Neodiprion lecontei: one gene and its partners. The protein of the gene in region 1 purifies or fractionates together with the protein of each later gene. This does not show direct contact. Links are inferred from orthologs where the notes say so. Each region holds a gene or a part of one and is shown in the gene's direction. Other genes may lie near its edges. The genes, in order: sequestosome-1; serine/threonine-protein kinase Pink1, mitochondrial; trifunctional enzyme subunit beta, mitochondrial; DNA repair protein RAD51 homolog A.

Evidence for each region.
Region 2: the proteins of sequestosome-1 (region 1) and serine/threonine-protein kinase Pink1, mitochondrial purify together in Homo sapiens (affinity purification with mass spectrometry; 3 studies listed by BioGRID and IntAct, with this or other methods). This does not show direct contact. The link is inferred for Neodiprion lecontei from reciprocal best matches to the Homo sapiens genes SQSTM1 and PINK1.
Region 3: the proteins of sequestosome-1 (region 1) and trifunctional enzyme subunit beta, mitochondrial purify together in Homo sapiens (affinity purification with mass spectrometry; 3 studies listed by BioGRID and IntAct, with this or other methods). This does not show direct contact. The link is inferred for Neodiprion lecontei from reciprocal best matches to the Homo sapiens genes SQSTM1 and HADHB.
Region 4: the proteins of sequestosome-1 (region 1) and DNA repair protein RAD51 homolog A purify together in Homo sapiens (affinity purification with western blotting; 3 studies listed by BioGRID). This does not show direct contact. The link is inferred for Neodiprion lecontei from reciprocal best matches to the Homo sapiens genes SQSTM1 and RAD51.

The regions. Positions count from the first base shown.
Region 1 is NC_060266.1:21,786,029-21,790,661, forward strand, and holds sequestosome-1, read left to right. Parts: upstream 1-2,003; 5' UTR 2,004-2,183; coding exon 2,184-2,370; intron 2,371-2,498; coding exon 2,499-3,493; intron 3,494-3,575; coding exon 3,576-3,854; 3' UTR 3,855-4,114; downstream 4,115-4,633. Other genes in the region: 28S ribosomal protein S29, mitochondrial, read right to left, coding at 4,234-4,470, 4,549-4,633. UniProt on the Homo sapiens protein: Molecular adapter required for selective macroautophagy (aggrephagy) by acting as a bridge between polyubiquitinated proteins and autophagosomes.
Region 2 is NC_060263.1:37,179,231-37,186,159, forward strand, and holds serine/threonine-protein kinase Pink1, mitochondrial, read left to right. Parts: upstream 1-1,589; 5' UTR 1,590-1,774; coding exon 1,775-1,889; intron 1,890-2,649; coding exon 2,650-2,924; intron 2,925-3,395; coding exon 3,396-3,931; intron 3,932-4,153; coding exon 4,154-4,276; intron 4,277-4,508; coding exon 4,509-4,926; intron 4,927-5,001; coding exon 5,002-5,100; intron 5,101-5,183; coding exon 5,184-5,438; 3' UTR 5,439-6,408; downstream 6,409-6,929. Other genes in the region: ubiquitin-conjugating enzyme E2 J2, read right to left, coding at 93-327, 484-608. UniProt on the Homo sapiens protein: Serine/threonine-protein kinase which acts as a sensor of mitochondrial damage and protects against mitochondrial dysfunction during cellular stress.
Region 3 is NC_060262.1:41,630,296-41,635,392, reverse strand, and holds trifunctional enzyme subunit beta, mitochondrial, read left to right. Parts: upstream 1-1,559; 5' UTR 1,560-1,657; coding exon 1,658-1,721; intron 1,722-2,319; coding exon 2,320-2,503; intron 2,504-2,623; coding exon 2,624-2,999; intron 3,000-3,079; coding exon 3,080-3,254; intron 3,255-3,331; coding exon 3,332-3,612; intron 3,613-3,814; coding exon 3,815-4,120; intron 4,121-4,231; coding exon 4,232-4,276; 3' UTR 4,277-4,559; downstream 4,560-5,097. Other genes in the region: exosome complex component RRP41, read right to left, coding at 4,615-4,971, 5,058-5,097. UniProt on the Homo sapiens protein: Mitochondrial trifunctional enzyme catalyzes the last three of the four reactions of the mitochondrial beta-oxidation pathway.
Region 4 is NC_060266.1:1,583,167-1,587,147, forward strand, and holds DNA repair protein RAD51 homolog A, read left to right. Parts: upstream 1-1,869; 5' UTR 1,870-1,999; coding exon 2,000-2,095; intron 2,096-2,262; coding exon 2,263-3,198; 3' UTR 3,199-3,446; downstream 3,447-3,981. Other genes in the region: N-acylneuraminate-9-phosphatase, read right to left, coding at 1,414-1,545.

The DNA.
Region 1 (4,633 bases):
GATCTTCGCGTTTTACTACTCTGCTTATTAGCTGTATAGATCGCTGTCGGTATAACGTATTTTCTCATACATTATATATGTGGTATCATACCTGTGCGAGTTTTAAATCAGCGTGTGAATATGCGAGTATTTAATAACAATGTGCTGTCTCGAAATAAATAAAATTGCTAGGGTGATAATCGTTCGATGTTACGAACGATGTTTCGGCCTATACTAATTAATGTCTGTATTCTTCCGCGGTAACGTGGCCTATAATACGAAATTTCAAATAGAAATCAAATAGAATGCAATTAATACTTGCGAACAATGTCATAACCGCGTTGCGCAAGCCTAGAATAATTTCTTGCGTAATAACTTCAGCAACTACTGAATGTATGTAAGTCGCATTCTGTGGCTACATATACGCGTATAAGTAGTCAAAGCCATGATAGCGTAGGAAAATTGTATTTGCTTCAGCTTTCACCGTGCGTTTAGTTACTTACACACTTGCAAAAGTTTCCGTTTATAATAAGAACGCGTATTATACTATTATCCTCCGCTGATCTTGTCTCTGGAGAATCTTACGAAAACTATCAGAGACCAGATTCTAGGTAGTCGTCGAGGCGATAATTTATTCCCACGCACAAGTTGTAAACTTTACCAAAATTATACACCAACTGCGTGTATATTTCATATATTTTATTGAACTTTTGCAAAGACTATTTATATTGTAAAACGCGTTCAAATAACTGTAGATATAAGATTATTTTATTTGCCTGCTGTTTCAGGTACGTTACAACTATCCTAAACAAAATTCGTATGTTGTATCCGCATGCGGATTTCCATCCTTTCGAATATCGTATAGGCTATTTAATCATACCCGTATTAATACCAACACCGGGAGAAACTTTGCTTTGAAAAACTATTGTTTAGTTTCTTTGAATAAGAAATCCTTTAACCAGATGAAATTGGATATAATTCCACTACTTTTCTGTTTTCTAATTTGCTGTGACCTACTCTGGAAAATCTTGAATCACCTAACTTTTTAGATTCTTTTATCATCGTCTCTCAACAAAGTTTAGAGGATAAATTTTCACGAGGGCATAGAAGTTGGGAATGTTCTAGTATAAATGATTCATTGTTAGTGAAGCTTGAGCGAGTGAACTCGTCAACTTTCGGCATCAATTCTGCCATGTAATGCGATGCCGCTGGATACCCAGTTTGGCTTCACACTGACGCAACCTCACGCAACCTGTAGCGAAATGTAGATAGGAAGCACGGCGTAAAACATGAAAGAAAAAATTTAATGTTCTATCAGGTGTGAGTCACAAGAAAAGAAATTTCAAGATGCTTCTGGTATATTCCAATGCCAGTTCTATGGGTAAAAATTTCAGCGAAATTTCATTTGATTATAAACTTAAACGCAGTACTTAAAATTAATGGATGCAAACGAAAATTAATGTTTTTCCACCGGTGCAGAATATCTACATTTTTTCACCGTATGAGTCAAGTTGGAAACATTGAAAGATTAGATTTTCGAATCCGTATCGCGTAATTCCGATTGCAAATTAGGCTATCTGAATATTCGTAATGTACGCATTATTCACCCAGTAATCCACGTATCCAGATATTGATAACTTGTCGTTGTATACCTCACGTGGTAGTGAGTCACGATGAATAATGATGACAATGGCAACAAAGTGACGTGCTGCGCACGAAAATTGCATCTCATGCAGGCCGAAGACGCCATTTTGAGGTTCGAATGTTTAAATGTCGACTTTTCAAATGTAGAATTTTCCACAATTTCGAGTCGTCGGATGAAATTTACATGATGACATTTCTCGTTGAAGTTGTGCGACGAGTTTCTTCAAGCTACATCATCTCGAAGTAATCCCCGAAAGCTGTGTCACGGTGTTTTAAATTCGAATTTCGAACGTCGTGGCACGGCGCCATTCGCGCGACCTGCGCGCCAGTTGAGACGAATGGCCGCTTGCGGATTGCGTCGAGTATAAAAATCACCGTTTGGCAACTGCGCACATCATTCGAAGACTCTCATCGCCTGACGACGCTTCTGTGCACGCTTCAAAAAACAAAGCGATTTGTAAACGATTCAAGGCGTTTACGAGGTTGAAAAATACACAACACGCGAATCTACATTCCAGAGCTTCTGACATTCTGAGTTCACAATCAGTTCAACATCCACAATGATGTCTGAGACGGTCAGCTTCAAAGTATTCTTGTCCAAAGAGGAGGACCCCATCGACGCTAAGCCCGAAGTTAGGAGATTCGGCATCGATAAGGACGTAGTGACGAATTTTCTCTACCTGAACGAGAAGCTGCAGTCCGTCTTCGCGGCACTCCGCTCGCGGCGTTTTACCATCTCTTGGAAAGGTACGAAATATCAATCTGATAATCGCGTAAAATGCGAGTAATCATCGTCAACGTTATTGCGCAATTCCAAAATCTGTATATTGTAAATTTGAAAAATTATAGTAATGACACAAACTTTCTAATCACAGACGCTGACGGTGACAACGTCATCGTATCCAGCGACGAGGAGCTCAGAATTGCCCTATCCGAAACTGCTGAGCAAAGCATTCGCAAACTGTACGTCGTCCTGCACTCCGAGTACCCAGCTGAGAATGCTCAGCCGGACGCCGAGCAGCCACAGGCCATTCACATCGACATAATTTGCGACGGATGTGAAAAGGATGTCCATGGATTTCGTTACAAGTGCATCCAATGCCCAAACTATGACCTGTGCGCGGATTGCGAGTCCAAGGGACTTCATCCGGAGCACTGTATGATACGCAGTCCAGTCCCGTTGCAGTGGAACCCCCACGTTGGACGTCGACTATCGCACTTCATGTACAAGTTAGCCAGAAAGAATGGGCGGACTGCAAGAGATACAGATTTGACAAAGTGTCCCTACAAGAGGGTAAAGTTTACCCATAACTCGCACGCTGGGAGACTGGAGGCGGATAGACCTTCTTGGCTGGACACTGTAACTGCCTACTTGAACGAATGGGCTCAACTTCCGTCAGAAGGAAGCTGCCCAATGAAAGAACAACCTGGGCAGAAGGTGGGTGAAGAATCTAAGACTGAAACTGAGGACAAGCGAAGGATCAATCGACAGGCAGAGCTTTTTAAGAATGTCGGAGAGAATCTAGCCAATTTTTTGAACCCATTGAGTATCGACGTTGAAGTTCATGCCGAGGCTCCCAATGCAGCTGGGAAGGCTCCTGCTGGCGGTAACGCAAAAACCCCACCTGAGAACAGCCCACCTAGTACTTCGGCACACAAATTTCCTGGGGAAGGAAAGAAGCTAGTTGATACTGCATCGACTTCTGAGAACCCTGTACATCAGCCTACTGTCGATGCTTCCGCACCTATCGACAAACCTAACATGGAAAGCGAGGAGTGGACACTGCTTAATCAACAGGATACCCCGGTCTCTTACGTTACTGAAGGAGTTTCGAGCATCAGTTTGTCTACTGGAGCCGTACCTAAAGTGGTAAATTTCTCTTACAATAAATTGCAATTTGATTCCATGCATTGAAAAGTGATCGGTGTTCTATTATATTGTTTGTTTTCAGCCGTCAACAACTGTTCCGACAGCTTCTGCACCAGTTCCGATATTGGCTTCTACCGTAGCTACGAAACCAATTTATCCCAAATTGCCGCAACAGGCCGAGGCTCCGATCCCAATTTATCACCCCGACCCAAACATCCAACGCGCTGTGGTTGCAATGATGCAGATGGGTTTCACAAATGAAGGCGGATGGCTTACTCAGCTGCTGGCTTCCAAAAATGGTGACATTAGCAAGGCTCTGGATATTCTGCAACCAGTTCGTCCCGGCAATAGCAAGCAGTAAAAAAAACATGACGAAAGTAGTGGTTAATTGTTGACGACTAAACTGCTAATTCACTAACGATATATGTTTGATATCTATCATGTGCATAGTTTTTACTGCAATTTTATTACTTTTACCGTTTATATTGTACGTAACTACCGAAAAAAAGCATTCCCTTTTGTTTGCTCATGTTTTACTGTGAGAAATGATAATAATTCCTGCAATGGTGATTGTATTGACTTTGTTTTCTGATTCCTAAAATATAAACAAAGCAAAAAGCATTGAATTGACTATTTACTTGATTTCACGATAAACCTACTTTTCCTATGAATTTAATACCTTAATTTACGAAAATTATTCTAAGCTAAACAACTTTTATTTCAATTATTACATATCCATCTTACAAAGCTGCGCATAAATTCATAAGTTTGAAACCATTTTTGGCAGATAAGAGTTTCAACTCTTGTAATCCCTCGTCATCGCAGTTTCTGACCCACCGTCTATCTTTGAAGTAATCCATAACATTATAAAACTCGGAATCCGTGTAGGGGTTCACAGATACTGGCATAAAGGGATCCAAATGCTCAAAGCCGGCTTTTCCAAGTAGCAATCTTGGAAGATCAGATTCTTTTTTGCCCTAGATGAAGACCAAATAAGTTATCATGAATCTAGTATTCAGATGATCAAAAAACGGGTAAAATGTTCGCTAATTTACCCCGACAGCTAATTGATCCACGCTCACGACAACAGCTCCGTTGCACCAATCGTATTTCGTCATTTCCAATGCGGCAATAGTGAGT
Region 2 (6,929 bases), on another chromosome or scaffold:
GAAACAATATTGGCGAAAACCTTAAAAAAAATATGCAATTTCAATGTGAAGTACTAGCACATGGGAAATGTACTTTACTGAAGCCTTCTTACCATGAAGCTAAGGAGACCGGTGAGAATGGTGGAAACACTCCATGCCGGGTTCCAAGTGTCTGGATGAAAATCGGATATGGATAGACAAAGCCGTGTGTTTACTTTGAATCTGCCGTTTGGCGTGGTCATGTATATGCTAGGTGGTTTGAAAGGAAACTCCCGTGGAAATACGAGCTTTCCGTGATAAAATCCACCCTCGTAAGGTGTACTTTCCGGACCGTTGACAACATAATGCCTGTAAGTATAAAAATAAATAAACAAATCAATTGTCTCGTCGTAGGCTTGCAGCCTGATTCAATGCTATACGTCGACTGACATCAATATTGTGCAAATGGATGAATTGTCAATCTTTTACGCACGCGAAGGATCAAAATAATGTTATCTTTATTACCATTCTAATATATTCGAAGGTACGGGTTCAGCTACGACGTACGGCACCGGGTCCTTTTTCAGTCTCAAATAGTCTTGCTTTAATCTAGCAGTGGCAGTGTTTGGCTTTCTATTCATTATTACCATATATATATAAACTAGGCTGGGTTGATCGGTACTATTGGTAATGGAAACTTCACTGTTTTCACACTTGTATTCACGAATGAGTATTAATTATTTCTCACATCAGGCTCAACTGTTTTTCGTGAGACACATTACCGCGATACAATTAATTACATGTATACGTATAACGTGATAACCTATTTTCGTAGAGGAGTCAGACGTCAGTTTTGACGATGAAAAAAAAAAATGATAAAAAAAAAAAAAAACCACGTCAACGTTGTAAAGGTTAACTGGAATTTGAGCGTTTGGAAAATACGACTTCACGGTACACTCGCAGAGTTTTGATAATACCTGGCTAAATACGGGGCGAATATTATTGCGATTGTTAGAAATCAGGAGTCACAACGAATGAAAAAATATCCTTCGACTTTGACAACCAACAATTTTCACGGCACACAAACATATGATGGAAGACCCGTATACCGGAAGTGAAACAATCCAGCATCCTGCGTAGTTGACTTGTGCGCTTTACGCATGACCATTATATTCCAAGTATCGCTCATTGTCAGGCGCACTTTCGTCATTCGAATCGTAAATACGGATCAATTCAGACTGAGAGAAGTTGGTTGACTGGAATTATTTTTCTTTATGCGTGTCCTCGCACTTCGCCAAATGTATCATCAGTAGACTGAACAGATTTTACAACGCAAGTTTACCTTTATAACGCCACAATCGCGGATGTACTTGCGAACTAGGAAGTATGATAAGTATCTATGCTATGACAGAAAAATTAATTATACTTATACCGTTATATTAGCGTTGTTGGCGATACGATTTTTTTGTCGCATTCAGCTTCACTAGGTACCTTATCCGAAAGAAGGAAAAACCCGCGAGTAGTATACGTCCTGTTTCCTGATTTCATATTTTCCCGCGCTTTTGCGGATTTCGAGTCTGCGCAAAATGGAGGCTGATTTCACCCAATCGGGTCCGAAAGGCAGGTTCATCCATGGGTATGATAATTGCAAATGGTGAACTTTGAACTGGCGACAAAAGACGTGTTCGAATTCTTTTAAAAATAATTAGAGTGTTCCAGGACTCTTGATAATTGCGCGATCAAAATTTTCCAGTTAAAACTCTTCGCGTCTGGGTTAGGGCCCGCCCGGGCTCTCTCGGCCCACGAGTGCGGAGAAATGTCGTTACGAACGGTAGCGCAACGTCTCCTGCAAAATGGTCGTGTCCTTCTCCGTTCAGTACGCAATCCACAATATTACACGCAAGGCAACAAAATACACGTTGTGGAAGTAGGTAAGGGCCTGTTGTCATCTTCTACCCGTGACTATCATACTCAAATCGACTCGACACATCAATCTCATCAGTCCGGTACCAATTCGCTGGCAATCGTCACAAATAACCATGTCACTATCATTAGGTTATCCCTTGCAACGTAACGGCGTATTATAGGTATGTCGTACTTGGAATGTATATGTAAATACTGCATTCATTTGAAACGTCATTTCCAATCTCAGAGCTGGTACGAATCGTTGTTTTCATTGTCTTTTTTTTTTTTTTTAGTAAAATCACTCGAGGCACCTTCATTGTTGCGATTATACGCACTTCCAAGTTTTGTACAATTTTATATACTCAGCATTTTACATGTGATTATATACGTTTAACGCGACTGGTGCTCATAATAATGTTAGATTTTACTCCCGCTTCAATTCAGTGTAGAGTGTATTCTCATTGTTTTATTCCATACTTTCGACTTGAAACATCATTTTATGCGAGAGAGTAGGAATAAATTACTTTCATGTTGAGAACAACACAAAGAATTACAGAATCAAAAGCAAACATTCTTGTTTACTATCATACTTATGGGACAATTTTTAATTCAATTCAGATTTTTATGTATCAATTAGTTAGTTGATTGATTACTAATGAACAAGAATTCTTGACTCATAATTAATTTCTTCTTCAACTATAATCTAATAAATATTTCAACACCATAAAATAAAAATAAAATTTCTTGCCAAACTATGACTAGTGTATTTTGAAATTCTTGATTCAGGTAAGACCCAGGGCCAGCTGCCTACGGGTGGTAATGTCTCTGCTGCAGGGAGACACCTCGGATTCCTGGGACTCCATGCTCGGCGGATATTTGTTGACAATGTTTTGAAGCGAGTGACCAATAGTCTCGCCGGAGATTTACGACGTCGTGCAGCAAAACGTTTATTATTTGGAGATTCAAGACCATTCTTTGCTCTGGTTGGCGTATCGCTGGCATCTGGTACTGGAATACTTACCAAAGATGACGAGCTGGAAGGCGTTTGCTGGGAAATCAGAGTATGCATACTTCCAGATATTTTTTTGGAACATAAAAATTAGATGCTCTTACAAACAAATTTCATTTTTTGCAACACAACTTCTATGAAATTCATATTTTATCATGTCATTCAAAGGAAAAAATAAACCCTTAACTAAAGCTTCATTAGACATGGTGATGTCATCTACAAATGGCTCTTATTCAAATGTCAGCTTATTTGTTATTATTATTCAGACTTTATGTTGTTTATAAATATATCATTTTTCCAAGTTCAAACTTAGCTGGCATTTATAATTATTTTGTAAATGGGATTTTAGATAGTCACATGTGAGTTGAATGTTATTTCAACACACTTGTTTTTGTAAAATTTAACTAATGAACGATTGTGAAAATTTTCTAGCCACGAAAAGGAACGCTAAACCGTCTGAAAATCGTCTATAGACTGTAATAAATTTAACATGTTATGTAATCAACTGTTACCTCATTCATAGGAGGCTGTGTCTAAGGTACAATGGAACACTCCAAAAAACGACCAGAATTACGAAGCAACAACGATTGAAGACAATCCAGTTGATTTAAAGGATTTTGTAATTGGACCAGCAATAGCCAAAGGATGCTCAGCAGTCGTGTATGCCACTCGTCCGATTGACCCCGAAGAAAAACAGGATTCTCAAATTACTGTTGATACCAGTAATAAGGATCTGTCCAGCTTTCCGTTAGCTATTAAAATGATGTTCAACTATGACGCAGAGTCTAATGCAACAGCTATTTTGAGAGCTATGTACAGAGAGACTGTACCAGCTAGAAAACATTGTCAGAATGAAGAACTGGCTTTGTGGGAACAGAAAATGGCTGACAACAAAAGAATTCTTTCTCCACATCCGAACATCGTTGCTATGTATTGCGTTTTTGCCGATAGAGTTCCTGATTTACCGGGATCATCGAAAATGTATCCTGACGCTCTTCCACCTAGGATTAACCCGAACGGCTCTGGAAGGAATATGAGCCTCTTTTTGCTGATGAAAAGGTACTTGACAATATAATCTGGGAGCTTCAAATTTCCGGAATTTTGCAGATTCTGAAAAATTGGATCAAATTTATTGGTATTTTCTAAAATTATAAACAAGAGAAACACTTGGGAAAGGTATACCTAGAATCATGTGTGTCATGTTACATGTTATGTTACAACGAAATGAGATATCAATATAGTGTATCGATTTCCAATGACAATACGGGTATTGTATTTCAGGTATGATGTTAGCTTGAAACAATATATGGTGGGCAGAGAATTAATCGTTCGAAAATCGATATTGTTGTTAGCACAACTATTGGAAGGGATTGTTCACATGTGCTCAGCAGGTATTGCACACAGGTAAGGGAGTCAGTGTTGGATTACGTTTTCCACTTGGTGTAGACGAATATTTCTTATATCATGCACCGTGGTTATTATACCAATGGATGACTTAATATTTGTTCATTAAAAAAGAATTAGCGTGAATTCTTCATGCTGCTTTTAATTTACGTTTTGAACAACAGATAAAAATGTGGTATTTTTGGTTACACGTAATGTATGTTTATTAATACAGTGAAATTTTTTAATACAGGGATCTCAAAAGTGACAATATTCTTCTGGACCTTTCAGAAGAACGTGATAATTGCCCGTCGTTGGTAATAACTGATTTTGGATGCTGCTTGGCAGACAAAACTCATGGTCTCTACCTGCCATATAGTTCTCACGATATTGACAAAGGAGGAAACAGTGCACTGATGGCTCCAGAAATCGTTAATGCTGAACCAGGACCATTCACTAGCTTGAATTACACAAAAGCTGATCTGTGGGCTGCAGGGGCTATTGCATACGAAATATTTGGTCAGAAGAATCCATTTTATGGGGAAAAAGGGCAAAAACCACTGCTGATGAACCACAGCTATATAGAATCGGAATTACCGCCACTTCCAGAAGTAATACCACCTGTTATTGTAGCATTGATTAAGAATATGCTTAACAGAAGCATGTACAAGGTATTTATTTTGTTAAGGGAAGGAAGTGTTTTCAAAAATTCATCAAAACTAATATCACTTCTATTTCCGTTACAGAGGAATAATCCCGATATGGCGGCAACCATTATACAAGTCTTTCTCTGGGCACCAAGCATTTGGTTAAACAGCGACAGTAAATTACCGTCAAGCAACGAGGTGATAGTTGTTCTACTTTTTGAGCTTTAAATTTCACGCGTTGATGTACTGTCATTTTTATTATTATTATTTTTGTGTTCAAGATTCTTCAATGGCTTCTGTGTCTCACGACCAAAGTTCTTTGCGAGGGTCGAAAGATCACTGATTCTACGCCAAATCAACTTTCTCAGAAATTGAACGCAGATCTCATTTCCAATCGTGAATATACTCAGCAAATATCTACCCGATCATGTGGACGTCGCACAATGCCCGAGTATCAATTGATAGCCAGCTTTTTAAGTAGAGTTTCACTGATAAATGTAAGAGATGCGTTGAAGTGGATTCATAACCACACTTAAACTCTAGTATTATTGGAAGGAAACAAGAGATGATTCTTAGAGTATTGTATACTGATGCATTGATAAAACATGATATGCTGGTAGAGATCAGTTGTGCTTTATCTCTTGAACTTTGATAAATTTTATTTATTTCTTCAATAGTCTTCAAAACTTTACAAAAATGTTGGTTCGGGAATCATATTACTATTGGGTATAACCAACATGGTTACACGCTATTGCAATACAAGGCAATCCTTACATTGAGAAAAAATGTCGAAAATGAATTTCTACGTTACTTCCAAGACACGTATGCCTATTCATCTTACTGTACATAAATTTTCTGATTTAAGGAAGAATATTTTTTCTTCTCTTCTGTAACTGCGCGAAGCACAAAAAATGGTACTGCAGAATAATGTTATGTCAGTCTCTTCTTTTTGGTGAAAGTGCCTTTGAAAAGGATGTACAGATATTATCAGCTTTATTTTTGAACCTATTACGTTGTTTTTCAAATTTTATTCTACTTATATCATTGTTAATCCACAACAAGTATTTTGAATACGTGAAAGAAATAAGGTTCCTTGAATAAACAATTTGTCGTATTATAAAATTGAGCACTGTGAATTTTGCCGTACCAGCAAATATCGATGAAAGTCGCAAGATACTGCGGAACTACTCGTACTTCGCGATACACTTGATTGTATCGAGATAAGTAAGAGCCTGTTGAAATATTGAGTTCCTCATGATGAATTACATAACATTATTTATTGCAGCTTGGTTAAATATCTCATAGAAATACTAGTCGAATATTGATAAAGAGTATATTTCTCTAAATTATCGTGTTCTGAAATCTAGCTTTAGGGGAAATTATGTTGAATTGGCTGTTATTATTTCATTGTATTTGTGAAAACTTGTATATGAGATGTAAATATCGATTTGAAGTTGAACTAGGATCCAAATAGAGAATACAAATATACGTGGAAAGTGCTCTTAAGTATCTATCTCATAACTATTGTACAGATTATATAACAGTGCTAACAATACATACATAAAATGGTTATATAATTTGGGACTAGAAAACTATCCTGAAGAATATCCTGCATATTTGCATCTCGTGTTTATTAGTTCTAACAATCATTTTTTTTTCTTTTTTATATCTAATGGATGAACTGGCTTTCCACTTCTCTGCATTGCAAATTTCATGTCTTCAATGTTTAAACCCTTTGTTTGAGCCAAATCTTCCAAGTATATGAGGTATTCTTCGAAACTGATGGCACGTTTGTGAAATTTAAAAAAACACAATCCAGTGTCAGTCGTTGTGACTTTATGCATATCAAGAATTTTAGCTGACGCCAGCCATTTATCGCTTTGCGAAAGTGGCAGCAACTTTACGCCTGTCGAATTGGAAAGTGGATCCATTCGACAGTATGCTGAAAAAGTGTCATAAGCTTTTATCACCACAAAACAGTGCGTGAAAGCAACTGTAATTTAGAGGTAATATGAAAAGAAAAGTCA
Region 3 (5,097 bases), on another chromosome or scaffold:
TTAATTTCAATGAAATAATTCAAAAATGTTCTTAAACATCTAAATGATAAAGCCCTCAAACTCAAATTGCTCCAAGTGTTTTCATTTTCTTTGAAAAAAAATACTGAAAATAGGTATTATTTTAGCCCGTCCAAGCTGAATCCCCCCCATTAACGTCACAATGATGCCCACTAATCTATATAGGCGCCAATTGAATAAACAAGTGGTATCTCGGCCAAAATACGGGATAAAAACCTAGCAAAGTCACGATACGAGTATAACTGCTACAACCTATAAGTACCTACATCCAGAAACCCCCTGTTTCTTGCTCCGTGTTGCCTTTAATATACTCCCTTGTATAATTCACGGCTATAGAGATTTCTCTCCGGCTATAGCTACCGATGCATCTGTAACGTATATGCATACATATAGCCCGATGGGTGGATCTTGTGTCACAAAGATTAATTGCCTGTAAGTACACCCTCGTGAATTTATGCCTAGGTAAATAATTGCAGGTTTCGTTCTACAGCCGATACACTGCATTATTATACAAAGCACCCTATATTACACTTGATCCCCTCATAGTTTTACACCTGCGCCCCGACCTATATCCTATACCTTCTTCGTCCGTGGCTGGAATCCAAGAACCGCAAGTTGTATTATTCTTGGTATTCTGCAGTATCCAGTGCTGATAACGAGCCAATTTCCGGTCGGTGGGAAGAAAGCCGATGCATTTATCGACGGTCTCTGCCTCCGATTGTTTCAGTCGAAAGTACCGGAATCGTAGAAATAATTGGTGAAAGTTAAAGTAAGCAGATTTCTGAATAACTGCGATTTGTCAAGAGTTGACTAAACACGCTTGCGGCGGTAATCGAAGATGCTCGTATTATCTATCTATGGCAAAAATCTAACACATTTTGGCCATTTTTTATCGCGTGATTATCCGTGTGCTTAACATAATATTCGTTTCCTCGCGTAACTTATAGCGATTGGCGAAATTCTCAGCTCTGTAGAATAATTTTTCCGTTGCACTATATTATTTCTAACTCGACTTCAAGTTATTAGTTAAGTATAGTGCCATCTTCGATCCAGCCGATGAAACCTGATAACGGAGCGAAGCGGAGATGTGGTATCACAGAATCCAAGTGACACTAAACGCAAACGAATAATACGACTGTACAATTTTTCAAGATTAAGCTTTCCTAGAGAGCAGATGAAACAACGTAAAAAAGAACGCATAAATTCTGTACCAAGACGAAATCTTTGAAAATCCATTTTCAGTGCAAAATCTTTAAGTTTATCCGTGCAAAAACAACCTTTGTTATTTTTAATACGTTTTAATGGTCTATTATGAATTGCAATTATCGTTTTGGGATCTTTACTTATAATTGAAAAAAGTTTTCTTATTGTACGTGCAAATAAACGCTGATTCAGTCATCATTTCAGGCGACGACTCTTAAAAATCCCGCCAGTTTATGAAGTGAATGCTAGCGCTCAAGCGGCGATACGAAGAACCTGAATCCGTACACGGCAAATTAGTAATTTATTCCAGCTAAGCACTCTTTAGATATAGTTAACTGTTTCGAGACTTTGGCACTTGGCAGAAGGCTGCTAGTGGAAAGCGGAGTGTTTAAAGTGTGCTTGGTTTATTTATATTGTTGATAGTAATATTAAAAACATGGCAACGTATCTAGCGAGAAATCTAATACGCCTTAATCACGGTATCGGCTCACAAACCGCAGGTAAACTCGATAAACACACCGATTTATAACGATTTTTTTTTCGGCTAGATTAATAGACTTTAAGAAATTGTTCAGTGTGTAATTGGATGAGCCATCGCCCCGCACATACCGTGCCATTCAATTGTGCCCCTTGCCCTGCTTGGCTCAACGCGGTGCAAAGTACACTCGGTCACTTTCCGCATGCTTTTTCAATTGAAGCTAATTAGCCAATCTGTAATATGCAAAACATGATTGAGGAAACCGTGATTTTCCCCAGGAATACCTAATGCCCATTGTTTTCTAATTTTTCCATCAAGCTGAAGTCAGCAGACAGATTCAGCAATCAAGCGCAATATACAGTTTTTCACTAATAATACTGTGATAAAAGTACTACATTTTTATGAAATTTGTCAAGATTTAATTCTACCAGGCTTCACTGTCTTATTTTCATTACTGTTAGCATATTCGGCTGATAGAGTAAGCCTTCTTTTATTTTTAAAAGTCTATTACCCTACCCATTCACAATTTTTTTCATATTTGTTCCAAATAACTTTTCAACTCTTCGCTCGCATCTGAAGGAGCAAAGTGCGATGCTAATCTGTTTAATTTGTGCATGTAGCTCTTCCTCTGGCTTTGAAAAACCTCAACGGAACCAGAAATGGGGACAGAGGTTATGCGACAAAGGGGGGAAGTCCGGCTGGAAAGAATATCGTCTACATCGACGGAGTTCGCACTCCGTTTCTTTTGTCAGGCACACAATACAGCAAGCTCATGCCTCATGATCTTGCCAGGCATGCCCTGCTGTGAGTTTTATGTATTTATTTATTTATTTTTTTGGTTGAAAGATTTAAAACTAAAATTTATTACACCTGAAAATGAAGAGGTTTAACGTAATACCCAACCTGTTGAAACATTAATTTCAGGAGCCTTGTAAACAAGACTGGAATTGACAAAGACTTGGTAGAATATATAACGTACGGCACAGTTATCCAGGAAGTCAAGACCTCCAATGTTGGTCGAGAAGCAGCACTGGCTGCAGGCTTCAGCCAGAAGACACCCGCACATACTATAACCATGGCGTGTATCAGCAGTAATCAGGCTATAACTACTGGCGTTGGTCTGATTGCCTGTGGCGTGTACGATGTTATCGTTGCCGGTGGTGTAGAGTTCATGTCCGATGTACCAATCAGGCACAGCCGCAACATGCGATCCTTAATGCTGCGTGCCAATAAAGCAAAGACTTTACCTCAGAAGTTAGGCCTCCTGGCTAGCATCAGGCCTGGCCACTTTGTTCCAGAGGTAAGCGGAAAGTTATAAATTGTTGTAAAGAATAGTTGTGTTAAATGTCAATATTTAACCATGTACTTCGATTTTGTTAGTTGCCAGCGGTAGCGGAATTCTCTAGCGGAGAAACTATGGGTCACAGTGGCGACAGGTTAGCTTCGGCATTTGGAGTAACTCGGGCAGAACAGGACCAGTATGCCTTGCGCTCGCATACTCTCGCTTCCCAAGCCCAACAGCAAGGATTTTTATCTGATATTGCGCCATTCAAAGGTAATTCCCTCAACGTTACTGGATAATTTCATACCACATGTATATTTGTTGATTAACACAGTTTCACATCTTTTCAGTGCCTGGTGTGAATGACGTCATTGACAAGGACAATGGAATTCGAGTTTCTACACCAGAACAGCTAGCTAAGCTTAAGCCAGCGTTTGTTAAACCATACGGGACTGTTACAGCAGCTAACGCATCTTTCCTGACTGACGGAGCATCCGCTGCTCTCATCATGACTGAAGAAAGGGCTAAGCAGCTTGGACTGAAACCAAAAGCATATCTGAGGAACTTTACTTATGTATCGCAGGATCCGGTCGACCAATTGCTCCTGGGACCTGCCTATGCTATCCCAAAGGTAAAATTATCTTCCCTAGCTTTTATTTTGACCCTGTCATACGAATACAGATTTCGCAATTTGGCTGGTTTAAGTACTGGAACTGTAAAATTCGAACATATGGAACAAAATTTTTTGATCCCCCAATTAATGGAAATATCTAGTTACATTAAATACAGGTTGCACGAAATACAAAAATGTATATAAATTAAACGCCTCACAGGTGTTGGAAAAAGCCGGCCTGGGCTTGAATGACATAGGAGTCTGGGAAGTGCATGAGGCGTTTGCTGCACAAATTCTAGCAAACTTGAAAGCCATGGATTCTGATTGGTTTGCACAGAAATATATGGGTAGATCAGGTAAAATTGGTGTGCCAGATATCAACAAGTGGAATGCTTGGGGTGGTTCTCTGTCTATCGGACATCCCTTCGCCGCTACTGGAGTTAGATTAGCAACTCACACAGCAAACCGCATGATCAGAGAGGATCAACAATTCGGGCTAATTGCTGCCTGCGCTGCTGGTGGTCAGGTCAGCAATGATTTCTTATTTTATTATACACAAATTTTAATTCTTGGATCCTCAAGCCTGGCATGCGCTGCAGTAATCAATGACGGATGAACCATTTATCTTTATTTACAGGGAGTTGGAATGATACTGGAGAGACACCCAGATGCCAAACTTTAACGGAACTGCAGAATAAACTATTCTAATCTTCTATTCGTAAATACGATACACTGCATTAAACGTTTTATAAATGCAAAAGAGTACGAACCCTTTCAAAACTAGGCTGAAAGAACGAATTTATATTTTTACAGTCGGAGATATCTGTTATATAAATGTGTACATGTATATATTTTTTAAGATTTATTACACCTTGAAAAAAGGAAAAAAAAAGCGTAATGAAATAGTACAATAAATCATGATCCATTTCAAATTTTCATTAGTTCATTTCATATGCATAGCTGACGACACATACACACATATATAAGTAAAACAAATATGGGGATGAATTAAACATAGTACTAAATAAAATGAGGATCATGTGTCGTTAAATGGAATCTAACTGCTTGATCAAGAATCACCCTTGTATCCCGACAGCCCTGCAACGCCCGTTGCCTGAGCCCTTCGAGCCTGGAGAGATGGAGTCGTGCACCAGTTCCTTGCGCCACGACTACTAAACCGGAATTGTCGGTATCTGACTCATAATTAGAGCCAGGGGCTCCTGGTAAAGCAACGACAGTTAATGTCGTCGCTCCTGTACATTCCTCCATATGATTTGCATCAACTATTCCTGTTCCAGATCCTGTTTCATCCTTACTGTCAACTTCTTCCGAAGCTCCCATGCTGGCTATCGTTGCTGTGCATCCTACAGAGTAATCCTGTAAGTAAAGCATATCAAATTTCATTATTTTTATAGTAGAAATCAGTAAAAGCACAGTGCGTAAGAAGTTATTATTAGAAGTACCTTAATGGGAATACCAGCGTCGATTAGAGCGAGAGTCGCT
Region 4 (3,981 bases), about 20 Mb from region 1:
ACCATTATTGATATTAAATTTTTGTAAATCACGAATTCAATACCTATATTAAACGTTCGTTCCTCAGTAAAATAGCTCAAATCTAGAAGGCCATTTACGTTATAACATGTAATCGTTGTTCAAATAGTTTCGTCGATAGATTGACATCATTCGACCACACGATGATAACGTCTGCATTTTTTTATTCAGCTCACAGAAATAATACCTGCATAACCCTTAAATGACGAATAAATCTTTTTAAATCAGAAGTATTGGATATCGGTTTAATATTAAAAGGTTACACATCAAACTGACGAGTAACTGCGAGGATAATGGATAAGACGGATAGAATTCTGCACTAAAGTGTGTAGAATGTGTAGAATAAGCTTTCATAGGTCAAGTTGACCAGAGTTCGTACGCTTTTTGGAATCTAAAAGTCCCCGATGTTTCTAAGCGTTTCAGCCTGGAAATAGGATTTATCCAGTAGCCTTCAAAGAAATATGCCGCTAATTTTTTTACATTAATACTAATATCTTCGATATTACTTAATAACTAACTTACTATCTAACAATTTACAAACGACAGCCTGCGATTTTCCGTAAGAAAAAAATCGAAAGAATGTTTGGTATTAAGTAATATACATAGAATGTATGAAGTGGTGCGACGAAACAAAATTTTACGTGCAATTTTTTTTATTAAGATCGACAGTACTTTGTATATAAGAACGAGTTTACTTGTTCGACAAACTCAAAATTTCAGTCTTACTTTAAAATTCTTGTGAGTTTACCCTGTGCGTGCGAACCCTGTTGACACTATGATTCTGGGCAATGGATTGAAATAATTAAATGTAGAGAGTTTAATCAGTGGTGTTTGTAAATCGAGTTACAAATTGCTACGCTATAACGAGCATCTAAACTTCAGCTGACGCAGATCAATGCGAATGTTTTTTAGCGACGAGAAGCGAGCACTGCTGCCAACGTAATTGGATCATCGAAAATTTTCGGTGCTTCAATCGAATCGAATAAAACGCGCACATCCGCGTCGCGATGCCGTGACGTCACGTGCCCTTCGAAAGTAGCTCGCACAGTGCGAAACATACGTTGGCGGTATTTTTCCAGAGATAGCTCGCCCCGCTCGCCGCCTCATTCGTTCGTTCGCAACGCGAATAGCGAACTAGTTGAAAGCGAGCGAGAGAATGAGAAGCAAACGGGTGTCTATGTACGGATTATTTTCTTCGATCCGTAATTTTTTCTTCTCTTTTCATTTTTGTCTGGCCCGTTTCCCCCGTTTCCCTCTCATTTTATTCGTTGCGGCGACGAGATATACGACATACACGCACACACGCACTGCAGGTAGCAATGAATCGGTGAAAATAAACGAAAGCAAGATGAACGCGTGACCGACGTCTTGGCTGATTTATTTTTCAGCACGTACCTTTCTACACGCTAAACTATCCCCCTTTCTAGTCTCGATCAACGTGTTGTCCAGGTCGAATAGAACTGTGGTTATAGCCGCAGCTGCTGCCGTTGTTGTCGTCGTTGAGTTTTTCCTTCCAAGAGCTGCCATCCTGTCTATGTATCGCTACCTTCTAGCTCGTACTAATTCCGCGCTGTTTGGCTCTGCTTTGACTTCTCTAATGCTCGGCAGACTCTTATGTGACAACATGAGCTTGTATTAATGAATTAACGACCTGCTGCTTCGTCGTTTGGCCACCCAACCAGTGGCAGGTACTGTACAACCAAGGCGGAGGAGTGGGGCAGCAGCGGTGGTTTTTTCACGTCTGACGTCACGGCTCTTGTGGTTTTTTTAATCGATGAGCATAGCAGTCTGATTTACCGGTCAAGTCGGTTGACTGAAACAGAACAACAACGTTATCGGACCGTCGGTAATTTTCAGTCGGTATACGTGTTACGTAAATATTATTACGGCGGGAAACAACGTTGTGACCCGACTCGAAATTTGACAGGATCGCGTAGAAGGTTCTTTTTTCGCTTCGTCCAGCAGGCGAAAAATTAATTCAATGTCGGTAACGGCTACGGCAACTACTGCGTCTATCCAGGGCGACGAGGATTTAGAAGAGTTTAATCCACAGGCGAAACTGATAAAGGCTATAGAAGTGAGTAATGAATGCGAAGAAGTGTGTTACCCAACCTAACCTAAATCGGCCCAACTGAGGATTAAGTGAACTCTCTCTAACCATAAAATATTCCCGCCTATTAGCTTGTTTTCTCACCGCTCGTCGGAACAAGTATCAAAGTGTAAAATGCATGTTTCTTTTTTCAGGGTAATGGCATTACGGCGGGTGATGTTAAAAAACTGCAGGAAGCGGGTTACTACACTGTCGAGTCAGTGGCGTACACGCCAAAGAAGCAGCTCACCACGATAAAAGGGCTGAGCGAGGCAAAGGTAGAGAAAATACTGGATGCTGCGTACAAGATGGTGGTGATGGGCTTTAAGACTGCAACCGAGATCCATCAGTACAGGGCGAACACTGTATATCTAACGACAGGATCCGCGGAACTGGACAGGCTCCTGGGTGGAGGGATTGAGACGGGTTCGATAACCGAGATATTCGGGGAATTCCGAACAGGCAAAACGCAGATATGTCATACGCTTGCGGTCAACTGCCAGTTGCCAGTGGACATGGGCGGTGGAGAAGGAAAGTGCCTTTACATCGATACGGAGGGCACGTTTCGTCCCGAGAGGATAATCGCAGTAGCTGAACGGTACAAGATCAGCTCCGAGTCTGTTTTGGACAATGTCGCCTGTGCTAGAGCCTTCAATACCGACCACCAGACACAGCTGCTCATTCAAGCTTCTGCGATGATGACAGAGTCTCGATACGCGCTGCTAATTGTCGACAGCGCCACAGGTCTCTATAGAACGGACTATTCGGGTAGGGGGGAATTGTCCGCCAGACAAATGCACCTTGCTAGGTTTCTAAGGATGCTTCTGAGAATTGCCGACGAGCACGGCGTAGCAGTCGTAATAACGAACCAGGTTGTAGCCCAGGTCGACGGCGCGGCCAGTATGTTTGGCGGCGATCAGAAGAAGCCCATCGGCGGTAACATCATCGCTCACGCCAGTACCACAAGATTGTACTTGAGGAAGGGCAGGGGCGAGACTAGAGTTTGCAAAATATATGACTCGCCCTGTCTTCCCGAGAGCGAAGCTATGTTTTCTATAAATTCGGACGGCATTGGGGACGCTAAAGAATAATTTTGATAACGAGTTGACAAAGTTTTGTGATACGATATACTATATAGGATAATATAACTCTAAGATAAAAGATTTAATATTTTTATATATGAGAACGTATTTCTATCGTAGATTGTAATGTTTAATTTATCAGTAATCGTTAAGCAATTTAATTACGATATATAAATAAATAAATGAATAATTCCCCTTGTGTAAAAATTGTTTGATGGGCAGTAATTTAAAATGTGTATTATCAATTAACAAAGAAAACGCAAATGATAATGAAATAAACTTTCTTTGCTTTTTTATAAATCATTTTCATTCGTTATTCCAGAGCCTTGAACATTTTTTAACATAATCATCTGAACTCCTTAGGCAATTTTATTTATTTATTTATACACGAATAAGCCGATGGAATTATGGACTTTAAAATTTTTTTTTAGTTCAAGATTTGAAAATCGAATTCGATTCTTACACACTTGGAATCGATGCTAGAAAAATTCGATTGGTAAATTATCGATACAAAAAAGAGAATTTTTTAGCCATCCTTAATTAATGTCCTTCATCCTGGTGAGTTGTTACCACTGAAATATATATACGTGATTGTTATAGGTATACCTCTCATGGGTGTAGTACACATGACACCCGTGCGTGACACAAGCAGCCGGCGAAAATTGCTGTTAGGTTAAGTTATCAATGACGCAATCGTGTCAGTTTTATCATCGCGCATAATTTTGATCCCAGCTCATCGTCGTTCGTTGGGAAGATAAAAAGTATACAACTGTTTGGTGTTAAACGGTCTTG